Schizosaccharomyces pombe: one gene and its partner. Changing the gene in region 1 together with any one later gene gives a genetic interaction. Each region holds a gene or a part of one and is shown on either strand. Other genes may lie near its edges. The genes, in order: apc14 and apc15.

Region 1 (10,764 bases):
CAACTCCGGTAATGTTTACTCTCCAGTCGTCTTTCAGAAGCAAAACAATCATACCAACACGATTTTCACATTTGATGTTCCTCAAGTTTCCGGCAGTTGCGAACTCAACCTACATCTCGATACTAGCGGTTTCCCAATCACTGTTGAAGGCAGCAATGGTGTTGGTCAATTCATTCTTTTCAACCTCTCCTCCGTCGCCAACGATTCTACTGTTTACTCCAACCGTCCAAACCGCATTGCCGAAATTGGACGTTTCAACTGCTCTAGCTCTGGTTGCGATTATGCTACCAACGTTACATGCCCCAACTCATACACCGCGGTTTCTTATGAAATGATGGCTCTCACTGATGACTCTTATTTGAGTTTCTTCGAAGAAGCCGATCCTCTTGAGGGATTAACTTTACGAGTTTAAATTTAACTTATTGAGAAATCAAGAAGCATTATCTAGTTTAACTTCATTAGCATTTAAATTCATTACTTTTCTTTCCTTTATGAGTAATAATTTCCAGTAATCTTTGGGTAGACGCTATTGTTAAATGGAAAAATCTATTCAAGGGCCACCGATTATGTTGTACCATTTACCTAAGTAGACTCAGTGTATGCTGTATTTATTTTTGCTCACCTAATGTACCTTTAATATTTTTCTATATATTACCACTAATTATACGGCATTCGAAAGCGTTATTTGTACGAGCAAATTTGCGTTTTTTAACCAAGCAACCGCCGATAAAGGCGATATAGCAAAAAAAATTTACGTACTCAAAAATATGACTGATAAAACTGATATTATAAATTTCGATAGTTTAGCAAGGGATTATCCCGACTTGAGATCTTTGTAGGGCGTTCTCAATGCCAATTTATATACTAATTGAACGTAGCGTCAAAAATGGTCGCATTGATTTTTGGAACGAAGATGCTATTCGGTTGGTAAACTCACATATGTTAAACGATTGCTTACCTATAAATTAGTACGTTAGGAAAAGCAATTCTGGATCGGGATTATTCTCTTCGTGTTGAATTTCCTGAGAATCGTCTATGTCCAATGGTAAGAGATGTGTAGCATCACCAATGTTTCTTTTAAACAAACATTTCCCTTCTCTCATAAATGCTAATTCATTTAAAGGTTCCAAACCGGTATATTAACACATTGTTTATTCATCATTTATAACCAACTTTTCAGAGCCACTTATATAAGATATATTCATGACCTGTTGTCAAGTACATCTGGGCAAAAGGATAAAAAAAGAATCATTGGTTTGGATATTGGTACCGGCGCTAGTTGTATATACCCATTATTAGGCTGTCGTATGTACTCATATGATTTCGTTGGCACCGGTAAGCTTTGATTTTTCACAGGCTTTTACTAATTACTCAAAACTCTAGAAATTGACAAATTTTCTTTTGAAACAGCCAAGAGCAATATTCTTCAAAATAACATGGAATCCCAGATCAAAATTGTGCTTCGTTCTAAACAAGACTGCTTACTCCCTGATACCGAAGGGATGGAAGAATTTACCTTTGTGATGTGTAATCCCCCATTTTATGAACATGAGGAAGATTTCATAAATTTTAAGCAAAATCCACCATCGGGTGTTTGTACTGGAGTTTATCATGAAATGGTTACAGAGGGTGGTGAAGTCGGATTTGCCAATAAAATCTTAACTGAAAGTAAAAAAAGGAAAGGAATTCAATGGTATACCTGTATGTTTGGCAAAAAATCAAGTGTACCTGCTGTGGTTGATAAATTGCGTGAACAAAATGTAAGTCCTAACTAGCCTTTAAAATTTTTTTAACTTATATCTGTAAGATATCAAATTATGGAATTTACGAACTCGCACTTGGAAAGACTAAGCGCTGGATAATTTGCTGGTCATTTCAGGCTATGCGTCCACACAATGTATGCTGCTATCGAACGATATTTAAAATTCATGATACTAACAAAAGGATCCAAAGGAACTTATACGTCCTTCTTCAACTTCCCTTTCTAAATATTTCCCCCATAAGGTTCTTCAGAATTGGACTTTAGACCCAGAATTATGTGCTCAAATTGATGACATTCTACAGAAATTCTTAGATGATAACAAAATTCCGTGGTCTAAAAAAGGATCCGTTTTGGAAATATCAACAAAATCTATCACTTGGTCTCGTAAAGCTCGACGGATATCCAAAAGTCAAACTTCTGTTTCTAGTCTGGAAGGACAAATGAAATGTGAACTGAACGTAATAGATAATCAATTGCAGTGTAAATGGATTGAAGGATATGATTATAATGTTTATGAAAGTTTCTGTTCAGCTTTAGCGCGAGCTTTACGGGACAATAAAAAATAATTCAATTCGTGAAAATTCACTTGGTAATCTTCTTATATTGAATAGCCAAAGCTTTGAATTTTGTATTTGAATAAAATGTCTTAAATTGTATAAAATAAATGATTAAAACAAATGACATGCGATACATAATAATTTTATCTCTAAAATTTGATGCCTTAAAGCTCATTCGAGTATTGGGTTCGAAACCCATTTATTTAGACTAATGAGTGCTTTCACTTAATTATTAAAATTAGTATCAAGCTTTTTCAACAGTCGAATCTGTATTAAGAAGTCTTAGCTTCTCAACTTTATTCTCAGATACTGGAAAAATAAATGCACATGAAGATCAGCCTATTAATATCACAAAGCTATTTTGGACTAGTAAAACTTCAGAATCCATTATATCTTAACATAAAATTGATGATTTTATCTATTGTTGATGTGTTTTAGTCGAACATAATACTTGATTTTTGCAGTTGCCAGGAACACCAAAGCACACACCATGAAGTTGGTACGGTAAGTATGATAAAAAATCTATACATATTCCTAACGAGTTTAGCTTTTTAATGAAGCTGACGAATGAAACTGTCTCTATTGAGTTAAAAAATGGTACGTAAAGCCTTACTTTCGTATAATAAATGAACCAAACTTACCAAATCGCGTAGGCACAATTGTTCACGGAACGATTACTTCTGTTGATATGCAAATGAATACCCATTTAAAAGCTGTTAAAATGACTGTCAAAGGTAGAGAGCCAGTGCCTGTAGAAACTCTGTCAATTCGTGGAAATAACATACGCTACTACATCCTCCCAGACTCGTTACCACTTGATACCCTTTTAATTGATGATAGCACAAAGCCAAAACAAAAGAAGAAAGAGGTAGTACGAGGTCGTGGACGTGGACGTGGCCGTGGAACTAGAGGCAGAGGCCGCGGTGCTTCTCGTGGGTTTTAAATATTATGAAAATATTCTCTTTTCGCACCCTTATTTTTGTCAGAGAATTTAAAATTATTGGCAATATCAATCGGCCTTTGCATTTTATTTTCTTTTAATAGATTTGCTTTGTGATGACATTGAAGTATTGCTGAGAGTGTATGCGTATTCTATGTTTTCCATGTTTCTATCATTTATCTCTGGTTAAATATCTAGACCGCTAAAAAAATCCCTTTCTTTCTCATACGTTGAAATGTTTGATAATCAACCTACGATAGCTTTGCTGAGGTGGCTTCATAAATGTATGTATAAAACGACTTCAGAGTTGTTTCACTGGTATATAATTAAATATTACATCAAAAATTTCCTTAATTTATTACGAGTACCCAGTTAAATAAACGTGTATTTTATTAACTTCTAAAAAGATGTGAAATTTGAAATAAATGTGATATTATGAAAAATAAGGAATCATTCCTCAACATGATTTTCAAAGTTTTTCAGTAAGCTCCGGGACGATTTCAAATAAGTCACCTACAATTCCCACATCTGCTGTTTGAAAGATAGGAGCATTTTCATCGCGATTTATAGCAGCAATGACTTTGCTATCTTTGATTCCGGCAAGATGCTGAATAGCACCATCAATTCCAACAGCAATATAAAGCTTTGGGGCGATGATTTTTCCAGTTTGACCTATTTGTAAAGAATTATCAGCATAGCCAGAATCCACGGCAACACGTGTAGCACCAATTGCTGCACCCAATTTGTCAGCCAAAGGTGTAAGGATGCGTTCAAATGTCTCTTTGTCTTTCAAAGGTCGACCACCAGCAACAACTCTTTCGGCAGAAGACAAATCAGGCCTAGCATTCTTTATAATATTCTCACTAACCCATTCTTGTAGAGCAGCTGGTTTTGGATCAATACCTTCAACAACAGTGGCTGCTCCTTCACCACTTGAAGGAGCGGCGTCAAATGCAGATGCACGAACGGTGACGATTTTAATAGGATCCTTTGTAGACACAGTAACGTTTACGTTTCCCGCGTATGTCGGACGAACGAATGTGTCAGCAGAAACCACACCAATAATGTCACTAATCTGCATCACATCAAACATAGCAGCCAAACGAGGCATCACCCCTTTACCAACAGTTGAATGAGCAGAAAAAACATGACTAATTTCATTTTTCTTAACATTTTCAAAAAGAACATTGGCTATTTGATCGGGAATGTTATGCTCATATGACGGATTCTCAACGTAGATAACCTTTTTCAAATCGTTCACCGATTTTGCTACCTTTTGAGAAATTTGAGAAGAATCCTTACCGATTACAAATCCAAAAACATCCCCACCGGTACGCTTTGCTGCTTCTACTGCTGACAAGGATGCTGGAGACAAGTTCCCTCCCTGATGCTCAAGCAACGTCAAAACACTAAACCAATGCCTTCTTCCACAATTTATTTTAAAGTTAGAAGAAGACAAAGCCCTAGAAAATGTCCGGCTAGTAGTCCTTAGCATGTTAGAATACTTCGTTGTAGGTTTGAGGGTGAATGAGGATGTACGCTGACAATATGTATGTTCACATATTATACTAAGAAAAAACTTAAGTAATACAGTCTTACATTTCAAAGGTAAAATAACTAAAAATAAGTAATCGTGATATATTTAAGTGATTTATCTACCAGAAATGATTTTTCGTGAGTATGAAAACATCCTAATTTTCATATACCTTACATTTATTTTTTTTGATAACCAACTGCCAATATTTTGACAAATTCTTTCAATACAAAGTTTAAAGTCTATAGCGATTGCAATAACTAGGTGCATCATTAAAAATAATAATAATGAAAATTCTTTTCAAATAAAAAAAAATATGAGAAACTCAATGTATCCTTCTTAGCATTACAGTTATTGAATCGTTCATCAACGTTAAAGTTCACTAAGATATTAGGAGACAAAAGGTGACTTCACTATTTTATTTTAATAACACACTCCACATTCTTATACCACAAGCATTGCTTTCTAACGATGGCAAGGAGTTTTGTTCAACTACGCACACAAGATAGTAAATAAACAAGAAAATCGGTGAAATTTCCTAATCACTTGTCCAAACCTCTTCACTTACTGCTTAAATACAAAAGAGATTACAATTTTCATATTTAAACGGTTCTCTTTTAAAGAAGAACAAATCAATGATTGAAGTCATTGTCTCTTAGTACTCACGGGGGTTTTTTTTACTTTTGTATATTAAAACGTTTCGAGGTCATATGGATCCGTTTGCTGGTACTGGTCAGTCCAAAAGTTATCGAACTTTTGGAAACGTCTTTCAAAGACTCTCCATGTCTGGCAACCCAAAACCTCTCGCCAAGAAACCACTTCTACTCCCTGAAGCTTCAAAAGCCATTGAATTTTGGAATTATCGAGATGTTATAGGTGGTGAAGAGGCCGAGCAAGAAAGAAATGAAAGGGCAAGTAGAATTGCAATATCCAGAATTGCTTCCAGCAGAAGTTCTATTCCAGAATACAGGCAAGCTATTATGCAGCATCTGACAAAACATGTTCAACAACTTGACCAGTTGGCTGAATGGTGATTAATGAGTTTATGATATAAATTCTTATCCTTTCAAACACCACATCACTAAACACTAAATTAATTCAAAATATTAAGAATAATTTCTGGCAATCTGTGTCTCAAGATAGTTTTCCGCTACTACCCTCTTGGTTGCAGCTTTCAGTTATCCTTTGCAAGTGTATCAATAAATTCTGCCAGCTTTAAATCTTTTTCTGTAAGTCCCTTTGTATCGTGAGTTGTCAACGTAATATCCACTTTATTGTATACATTAGTCCATTCGGGATGATGATTTAGCTGTTGTGCACGCAATGCGACACAGCTCATAAATCCCCAAGCTTCAATGAAGTTTTTAAAACGAAAGCTTTTAAATAGTTTTGTATCTCCTTGTTGAAGAATCCAGTTGTTTTTTGATTTCGAGACTAACGCCAGTAATCTAGCTGATGTGTTCATTTTTTCAACCTTCTAAACCAACGTTTATTCCAGAAAAAATGTTTTTCTTCAAAATTTAGGTAAAATATCAATGTGATGTGTGTAGAACGTAACTGTTTTAATACACTCAATTTACCTCCTTTTACTTTGGTATGTGAAAGAGAACGAAATCATATCGTCTTGTCTTATTCACAACATCAAAAGAGTAAATTTAGCTACTACGCTAAAAGAACCTCTTCTACAGAGGAGCATTAGAATTATATTTGTTAATTGTATAAACAGTTTCCTAGTTTTATTTCCAAAATAAATAAAATATGCTTGGTTTGGTCTTGTAGCATTTTATCCATCAGTTTTTATGGGTAAATAGTCATTCGCTCTTTTTAATGTTAAAATATTTTATTCATGGAACACTTCCTAATTTTTAAAAGTTTATCGACTTGGCTTCAACACATAGTGCTTCTATAAGTAACAAACATGTTTTAAAACAAGATATCAATACCATTAACAATATCATTTTATACATGGATCAATCATCCATTTATTCGATAACTATAATCAAATAACCTCCTGTTTGCATAAGAGAAAAGGTGAGACTTAGCTTACGAGACATTTATGAATAAAAATAAAAATACTTGTAAACAGTTAGGTTTCACTGCAGCAACATTCCAAATATCAAATGGGACCTTCAAACACAAAATTATAAAAACCCAAGACCGCCTCTTTTCTCGAGAAGCATGAAGCATTGAAACCAAACTCAAAAGGTTTCTTTCACGTCACTTATCAAAAAAATTGTGGAATTCCTTTGCTGACTGACATTTTCAAGCTCTTCAACTTCCTTTCACCCCTTCTTGTGTTTCGCTTCCAAGATGTATAAAATGAAGGAATTGTCATGTTGATTTTTCATCCTTTAAGAACAAGATTCCTCTTAGGTTTCTGTTCTTTCCTCAAATTCTCAATTGACATTTGTTGGTGATATAAACAACCATAGAGATAGAAGCGGTTTCTCAGGCCTTCATTTTTTTTAAACCTCAAAATTTAACTTTTGAACAATTCGTCACGTACATCAAACATCATAAACGTTTACGAAACGCATTGTCCCAAAAATAGTAAACTGGCTAAGCAATAAAACAAAAAATACACATATGTTTCTTATAAGACCTTTAATAAGAAAGCCAAAAAATATTTACTCAGCAAAGCTTTAATCTAACCATTGTTCACTGACTCTCGCTTTACTGAAGCAACATCGCTAATGATCATTTTACGTTTAAAAAAAAATAGAGTGTATACGAAAGCAAAACAAAACAAACAAAACAGAACAAAACAAAAATAATGTAAACCCAAAGTATAATCAAAAACCATCATCAGCCTTAAAATCTCTTATACATGCATACAAATCTTTTGGAATAGAATAAATATATCGCTTTTACTCTTTTTTTGTTCTGAATTCCCAACCTCTTTTTAATTGCCAAAAGTTATTAATGCTTCCTTCTTACTTGTCTTCGAGCACTTCTACAACCGTGGTACACACATATTTACCGATTTATACGTGATACATTAAAATCGAATGCGGCGTTTACTAATGTTTATAAACAAAAACGTGAGGTTGTCTACATTTACCTTCTCCACTTTTGCGCATAAAGCATTGTTTTCAAATCACTCAATAAATGCGATCTAGTTTGATCGTTGGCTAATTGGATTTCAGTGGGGAATTTTAATTGCCGAACAGCTTTATAGTTTATGTGAAAAGAAAAGAAAGTGAGCAAGTTGCTAATATTAAATGATGTAGTTATCTTTCATGCCAGAGAACAATCTGGATGTCAAACGACCTCTGTGTAAAACGCGCAAATATAGGAGACGCATGCGCTGAATAAGGGTTGAAAGAAGAAACACTGTTAAAAGAGGGTTTTGCATTGGCGAAAAAAGATGTATGGAAAAAAGCACGCGTAAATAACAAAAGAAATCCTTACCGAATTATACAGCAAGGTGGAGATTACTACACTAATGAAGGCAAATAAAAAATGTGATTTCTTTGACTTGTCCATGTTTTTCGGGATGGATACAACGTTGTTTTTTATCTATCATCTTTTTCAAACTTTCAAAAGGACTAACTTACCTTTACAAGCTATACACTAATTACCACTGATTTGAATAAATAGCCTTTTGCTTCAGTAGACAAAGCAAACACCATAAAAGAAAATGCATTTAGCGTTTCTCGCTATTTACTCTATCTAACGCGAGTCGCGTTGGCTTTCAATCTGTCCAAATTGGATCAGTTGTCCCGCTTTTTATGGGATTTTTTTTCCATTATCGTCCTCTTATATTAGAGCTTACTGACATCGCATCATAACTTTAGATAGAGTAACGAAAGCCGACCGATTTCTTTGTTCCTATTTTAAAGTTTCTTTGTTTTACAAACCCTTCTCGAGCTAGCCCCTCAGGGGCATTGCAAAAACGTTCACAGTAAATGCCTAACAGTAAAGGCTACTGAAATTTTCATCGTAGGTCTATAAATTTCGTTGATTCCCTTTGTTTTCAACGCTTTGTTTTCGCCACTGAAAGCTGCTGTTGAGATTCTTTGTTTACTTGGCTTACTTCGTTTCTTTGTTACTCTTCCCACTTTGTGTTACACGGGACAAAGGCAGGGGTAGCATAAACAGTACGTCCCATTCAATCAAGCATTCTCCCAGTAATTGTCGTAATATTTGCGAGCAAATAAAGTCCTTTTTGACTTTGTGATTTCTTTGAAATAACTTCTTTGTTCTCTAATTACTGTATCTCATTATAAAGCATCCAAGCCCTCTCATTATTCCCAACATACAATCCATCCTTCCTCCAGCAATCCGGCCGGACAGATTGTTGTAATTATCTTTACAGAACTATTTTGGGCTGGCTTTTTGATTTGTACTGAAAAGCATCGCATTGCATTGCATCGTTTTTGTTTTGTTTCGCTGCTGCCATTTAGGCTGTCGTATATTTTGTTTGTCTGAAACTTAACGTTCCTTTGTAATAGAGAAAGCAAAAAATATATACCCCATTTTAAAAAAGGAAAGGGAAATTGCTTTTTTTTTTTTTTTTTTTTTTTTTACACCTCTAGTTAGTTGAAAAACCATATGGAAAAAACTTAAGTTTTTATACATCGTGCATTTACTTCTTTTCCATTACTCCATCCTTGCCAATTGTTTCTCTTACCGTTCGCATTTTCCATCTTAATAGGACACACAGCTGCCATCATCCGCGCCAATAAACCTATCGACCGTAACAAAACATTGATACGTTTATTTATCTAATTCATTTCTTTCCTTCTTAAAATCCCCACCCGCATCTTTGTTACCTTTGAACGCAGTTGCTACTTCTCTTTTCTTTGTTTGTTTGTTTATTAATTACTTGTGCCCACTCCGAGACCAACCATCGCTTTCCCATTCCTTGTTGAAAATAGCCCATAGTAGGCATTCGCAAAGAAAGTTCAAATTATATCTTTTACCACATTATCTACATTTTCTGGCTGTATTCTTGAATCCTCATTTTGATCTTTACCAATTTTTCTTGAATCGTTATTGTCATTCCCTGATATCTTTTTCTCTTCTTTGTCCTAGAATCGATTCCTTTCTTCCCCTTTTTTCGTGTGCTTCACTTTTTAATTCCTTTTTTTGCAACCTAACTGATACGTATATATACATTTATATATATACGATTCCAATCCATTTTCTCTTCATATACGCATATACATTTTTTCTTGTATATATGTGTAAAGTTTCTAATCGATTATTTTAAATTTTTACTTGCGCTTTTCTTCTGTGGTGACAATATCCCATCTTTTTCTTTTTTTTTTAAAAAAATTAAAGGGTAGTTTCCTAGTTTTATCCCGAAAATTTCTCCTCCTCTAACGTTTGTTATTCTTTTGTTAATTTTATGAAAGACAAGTTTGTTTGTTCAAATCTTGGTTGTTATTCTTTTCGTTTGATTATATACATTTGAACGACAATTGTGATTTATTGTTGATTTTTTCTTTTCATTTCATTATTCTTTTGTTCTTTTGCATTTTCTCATCGTTTGTTTGATTTACTAACAACCATCTAACCCCTTCCTTTCTTTTCAACTTTCTGGTCTTTTAAAGTTTGTATTAACTTAATCCTTTGCAGTTCCTTTCTCTCCCTTTCTTACCACTTCTAAACAAAGTTTTATAAGTTATTAGTCATTAAGTAATTTTTTTTACTCTTTATCTATTTTAAGGATTATCGGCCAGCTTTATTGTTGCCGTTTTAACACATAAATGATTATGGAAACCGAATCACCTTTATCAATCACCTCCCCTTCTCCATCTGATTCAACTTTTCAAGTTGATATGGAGAAAACAATGCATGCTTTGCCCTCAAGTCTTCTTGACTCACCATTACTCTCTACTAACGAGCATTACCCTCCCAAGAGTACTTTACTTTTGAGTGGTCCTTCACCCATCAGAAATATTCAACTATCTGCTACCAAATCTAGTGAATCAAACTCAATTGATTATCTTACGGATACTCAAAA
Region 2 (5,657 bases), on another chromosome or scaffold:
TACGCGACGAACCTTGCATATTAAAATCATTGGCATTCCCTAAATGAAAATGGGCTCCATGGTCTGATAAATGAGTGCGATCTTCAAAATTTTGGTTGTATACATACGAAGATTTCTCCAAATGCTTACTTCGAGGCCCTGTATCTCTATTATCGTAATGTTCTCGTTTGGACCTATATGAATCTGAACGACTATCTGGATGGTAAGAATCATATCGTCGATGATGATTCGATGATCTTGAAACCTGAGTGTTTTTCGGTTTGTCGTAATCCTCTTGTTGTGAAGGCCTATTGAAATTGTCAAGATTTATACTCTCCGCCCATTCGTTTTTGTAATGTTTTGTATCATCTGTAGAGCTCCAAGAACCATTAGTTTCGCCCCAACCATCATCCAGGTTTCCCCATGAAGCTTCAGGATCATCGGGGGCAAACCAAGAGGATTTTGCTTGATACTTCGGACGAAATTGTGGATCGCTATTCGAATCAAGCTCCATAAACATCGACGTATCGGTATGATCAAGAGACTTAGAAGATTCACGAAATCCAGTAGAATTATCATCCCAGCCAACAGACTTAGAGTCAGAACTGCGAATATCATTTTCACGAAGTGAAATGCTTTCATGCAGTCTAGAAGATGACTCTATTATTGAATCAGAAGTAGAGTTGTCCCACGATTCAATCTCCATGCTTCCTGAGCTTTTATCTAAAAACTTGTTTCTGCTTTTCCGATGTTTGCTTTTTTTCGTTTCTATAGGTTTTTCAAATTCAGTAACGGAGTTCTTTCTTAGTTGTTTCGACTTCACTGGCTTCTCCTTTCCATCCGTAACGAGTGGAAACTCAACATTAGATGATGTGTATTTTTTTGAAGCTCTTACCTCCTTTGTGACTCCAGAGGAAGTATGGGTTGCCTTTGCTTTAGCAGGACTGTTCTTAAGTTGCTGTGGGAAGTCAACAGCAGCCAGCAATTTCCTCTGCGATAGCATTTCAGAGCGGCAGTAAACTGCTTCTTCAGCTAGTTCCTGCCTTTTTTCTCTCCTATTTTTTAGATTAGAAAGCCAATGTTCAGTGAATAATTCGTGAACTCGCTCTAGCGAAACAGTTGCTGATCGCCGAGATGTTCCATGATTTTCGGGAAAGTCTGAAATACAAGCTAAAAACGGTAAACTTGGAAGATATTTTTTGATTCCTTTCTCCATTAAAATCGTAGCTCAAATAGGATCAAAAGCTCTCATTAAATTATAGTGGTTAGGAGTAAGTTAAGAAGTTTGATGAGTATGTGTAACATTAGATAGTAAGGATATTAATCGAGATACATACAGGTATCTTTTTTCTGAAATTTTGTATTTGCAAATAATTGAATCCTAAAAAACCCAATTTAAAGTACACCTACGTGAAATTGAAAAGAGTAGCCAGTTTCAATTACTTAAATGCTGAAACTTGAACATGAAACGTTACGGAACATAAGTATTTCTTATCCCTTGACCTCTTCATTAAAGGAAAATAAGCATTTTGATACTCTTAGTTAATAATCTTGTTCAAGCGTTGCAATAAACATTTCAAATCAGTCAAAAATAAGAGGAGAAATAAGTTCAACAGCTTTTGTTAATTAATACGTGAACCAAAAATTAACACGAAAGTTAATTTTGTGGCTTCTCAGCATTGCTTTGTGTTTACATTTTTTGTTTATTGTACAGAACTGGGTTAGTAAATAACCCAGTCACCATAGTAACGCCTTTAGTCTTACAATACACCAGCTGATTCTTGAATACCAATATTTATTTGCAGCATAAAATCATGTCGTTTATGTCGTTGATGGCTAATACAGCCCATCAACTATGGTATCCTACGTCTTTTCCTTCTATGAAAGAATTGGAAAAGGAAGAAGTTAGACTGGAGACTCAGGTATGTTTGTTTACGATTTTCAACGAGTTTCTGTGCATGAGAAAAGTCTAACTTGAACGAATCTTAGGAGCTTGCAATTAAACAGTTTGGATTTCGCACTATTCGGCCCATTGGATTAAATAGGTCTATGCAAGAGCAGCTTGATTTGGAAGAGCAAGAGCGCGAAGAGGCTAATCAAGACACTGAGTTGGATGAAGAAGAATTGGGAAGTGGGAGCTTTCCTGAAGAAGGCGAAATGGACGATATGGATGGTGATAATGAAGAAGTAGAAGATCACGATATTGAAGAAGTCGACTTGGATGCTGATATCACAAATGCTGACGCCTCTGAATTTTACGAAGATATAAGTGAATACGGATTTCAAAATTAAGGCTTTAAAAATAATAATATCGAATCAACCATGATTGCTAAAGCTATGCTGCTGCATTACCCGATTGAAAAATGTATGTACAATCGAATTTATTCCCATAATTGTTTACGAAAAAAGAACTTGAAGATAATAACTGGATACACAACCTATGCATGCTAAAAGGCTATCAACTCTTTATGATTCAAATGACCCATTTGATTCTACTGTTTTGAATTTATTTAACGATGTCTAAATTTACAATGCTAATTTTATTTAGCATTTTTAAGCAATGTTCTTAAACCACTAGCCTTTTACATCATTGACAGATCCCATTTGGAATCCTGACTTACTGTTAACCGTATAACTTAAATAATCATTTTCTTGGCTGTTCGTTTTTGGTGTTTGAATATTCATATTGGAGTGCAACAAACCGTTGTGTATTTCTTAGACATCGTTGAAACTAATTTAAAGCCTACCCGAAACTATGAATTTGTTTCTATCTCGGTTCACGGGGTTACGAAATACTTCATTTTTGGGTCATGCACGACCGTTTATGTTTCCACGTCGCTATGCTCATTCTTTAGTGGCACATAATATTGGTCATATCAAGCTAGATCCAAATGAAGGTCTTTTCTTCGTGGATAATCTCGTCAATACTCCAACCTATTTCTACATTCAGCGATACACTGCGTTGCTCTTTCAGAACAACTTGAAAAAGCAGCTAAGTGCTGCTTTTCCAAGCTCTGATACAATGCAGTTGGAAGATATCATATTCAGATGGCAAGATGGAGGAGCATTTTTAAAAGTACGTTACAAGGAATTCCCACAAGATACAGAAGCGGTTTCAGAACACGTCCGTGAATCATTTCGAAAGCGTCCAGTTCGAACAATTTTACACCCTTTCTCTACCCCGATTCCACACATGGTACATGGTATTCCTTGGCTTCAAGATTTATATATATTTCCATCTCGTACAGTAGATGTGAATTTCGAAGGTCCGCCCCTTTCCCAGGAAAGATTGTATAGTATTTTTAGGACATATGGAAAACTAAGATCCGTGACCATTAATTCACCTACTTCTGCTACTTTGAGTTTTTCATCGCTAAGGTCCGCTACGTCAGCTTTAAACTGTATGCATGGTTTTGTTTATGGGAAAACAGAATTCCACATGCGATACAGACATATGAACCGCTTTGTCGCCTTCAAAGACTGGTTATTCTCTCATCCTCGTTTTACTATTCCTTTGGTTGCGGCGGCTATTACAGTTTTAACGGCTTCTTTATTCGATCCGATAAGAAAGTTCTTTGTCGAGACAAACATTGTACATGGTCAGAAGTTGAGAAATATCAATGTTGTTGGGTGGGTCAAAAAGAAAACTCGCGATATAGTTTTGAGTCCCTTTCACGAAAATGGTACAAATATAAAGGCACCGATTTGGACAACACGTGAAAAGGATTGTGAACAGTTGAAAGAATGGTTGGATGAAGCATTACATTCTTTTATTGTTGTTCAAGGTCCTCGTGGTAGTGGTAAGCGTGATCTGGTAGATCGAGTTGTTAAAGAACGAAAAAATGTTTTGTTTTTCGACTGTGATCGCTTATTCTCCACTACTAATACGGAAATGTTCGTAAGTACTCTTGCTAGCCAAACGGGGTATTTCCCCCTCTTTAGCTTCCTAAACAACATATCGTCACTTATCGATATGGCTGCACAAGGTCTCATAGGACAAAAAACGGGAATTGTTTCTTCTAGTGAAGGACAAGTGCGGCAAATTCTTAACACAACACAAACGGTATTGCGTTCTCTAGCATTACGAGAGCATAAAGAAGCCGATACTAGTGTGTTGGATGAATCTGAGTTTTTAGAAGTTCATGCAGATCGCTTACCTGTTGTTATTCTCGACAATTTCCAGCTTCGTAAATTATCAAACCCGATGCAGAGAGTGGTTGCTGAATGGGCTGGTAATTTGGTAAAGGAAGGAATTGCTCATGTACTAATGCTAACACCCGATGTTGGAGGCACCAAGTCATTAGAGCAATATGTCAACGGTTGGGAAAATAGAACATTGTTATTAGGAGATGCTGACCCTGTACTTGCTCAGCGATATGTCATAGAGTCTTTACCCGAAGAGATGCAAACAGAAGAATTGAGGAAAGAATTGCGGGTCCAATTACCGAAGATTGGTGGCCGACTTCGTGATCTTGATTATGTAGCTCGTAGGTTGCGGGTTAATTCTTCCAGTGTTTCTGAAGCAATTGGCGGTATTGTAAGTCAAAATGCCTCTGATATTTTGCAAACATTTTTACGGCCTGCTTCTTTAACCAGTGAGGAGAAGCCAACGTTCACTCCAGAAGAGTCATGGACCTTAATTACTTATTTATCTCAACATGAATATATACCCTATCATATGTTGATGCTTGACCCACTGTTCAAAGGACACGACGATGCCGTTCGTGCCTTGGAAGAATCAGAATTGATTACTATTACCACAGTGAATGCAAGACCGGATAAAGTCTACGCTGGAAAACCTGTATATGTTACGGCTTTCCGGCAACTTGTAAATGATCCAGTATTAAGTGCTAATATGCAGTTGGTGAGATGTAACGCGTTAATTGGCATGGCTAACAATGCTATCAAGAATGATGAACAGGAGCTACAAATGCTAAAGGACCTTGGGAACCTTGAATCAGGTGTGAAGGATCGTGCTCATTACTTAACGACGCGTATCCAGAAAAATCAAGGTGTTATTACTGATAATGAGAAAAGTATAGAAAGGCTTACTGAGGCTTTGAAAAAAATCGACTAAGATGCGAAAGCATATCATTTAAGATTACGTATGTTTTTATGAATTCTTTAGCATGAAGCTATAATGTCAACAATAATATCACATTTAATGACTACGCATTAACGAGAGAGAAGGGAGTAAGGATTTGGTAGGTAGTCCAAAAATCGTCGTAATATGAAGTGAGCGTAATGAAGAATTAGCCTAGGTAGAAAAAAAAAGAAGAAGCGAAACCGGTTATAGTCATTAACCTTGACGGGTTTTATGTCTCGGATGTTTTTTGCATAGTACATACAACCTACCTTTGCGACGCACAAAATAGCAGGATGAACAACGCTTTTTTACTGATGCTTTCACTTTGAAACCTCTTGAAAAGTTCCAAGGTAGAAGGCTAGGAGAAAGTCTGAAAGCAGGGGTTAAGAACATAGATGCATTTTTTAACAACCCTTTTTGTGCATTAAAAGCAGAAGGGAAGACTCGTGACAAAACACCCACAGCAAAAAATTTACGACCTAATGAAGCCATTATAAGTTAAAAAAAAAGTGAAACTGGGACTTCAAGTCAAGATGTTTAAATTTTTTTGGATCCGAAGTAATTCTGAGCTAAATAAATGATGTACGATGGA

The links.
Region 2: mutations in apc14 (region 1) and apc15 are lethal when combined (synthetic lethality), as found in Schizosaccharomyces pombe (one study listed by BioGRID).

Annotation. Positions count from the first base shown.
Region 1 is NC_003424.3:4,513,036-4,523,799, reverse strand, and holds apc14 (anaphase-promoting complex subunit Apc14), read left to right. Parts: upstream 1-5,292; 5' UTR 5,293-5,503; coding exon 5,504-5,827; 3' UTR 5,828-5,967; downstream 5,968-10,764. Other genes in the region: SPOM_SPAC27D7.09C (But2 family protein ), read left to right, coding at 1-412; methyltransferase Mtl16, read left to right, coding at 850-923, 970-1,045, 1,124-1,134, 1,181-1,335, 1,384-1,760, 1,808-1,897, 1,954-2,328; Sm snRNP core protein Smd1, read left to right, coding at 2,810-2,823, 2,867-2,916, 2,973-3,262; etf1 (electron transfer flavoprotein alpha subunit), read right to left, coding at 3,729-4,754; omt2 (4-alpha-hydroxytetrahydrobiopterin dehydratase), read right to left, coding at 5,968-6,258; RNA-binding protein Mei2, read left to right, coding at 10,508-10,764. UniProt on the Schizosaccharomyces pombe protein: Component of the anaphase promoting complex/cyclosome (APC/C), a cell cycle-regulated E3 ubiquitin-protein ligase complex that controls progression through mitosis and the G1 phase of the cell cycle.
Region 2 is NC_003423.3:1,514,934-1,520,590, forward strand, and holds apc15 (anaphase-promoting complex platform subcomplex scaffold subunit Apc15), read left to right. Parts: upstream 1-1,762; 5' UTR 1,763-1,793; coding exon 1,794-1,901; exon of another isoform or gene 1,902-1,968; coding exon 1,969-2,271; 3' UTR 2,272-2,641; downstream 2,642-5,657. Other genes in the region: tas3 (RITS complex subunit 3), read right to left, coding at 1-1,195; RNA-binding protein Yme2, read left to right, coding at 2,735-5,056; rtc6 (mitochondrial 54S ribosomal protein bL36m), read right to left, coding at 5,279-5,557. UniProt on the Schizosaccharomyces pombe protein: Component of the anaphase promoting complex/cyclosome (APC/C), a cell cycle-regulated E3 ubiquitin-protein ligase complex that controls progression through mitosis and the G1 phase of the cell cycle.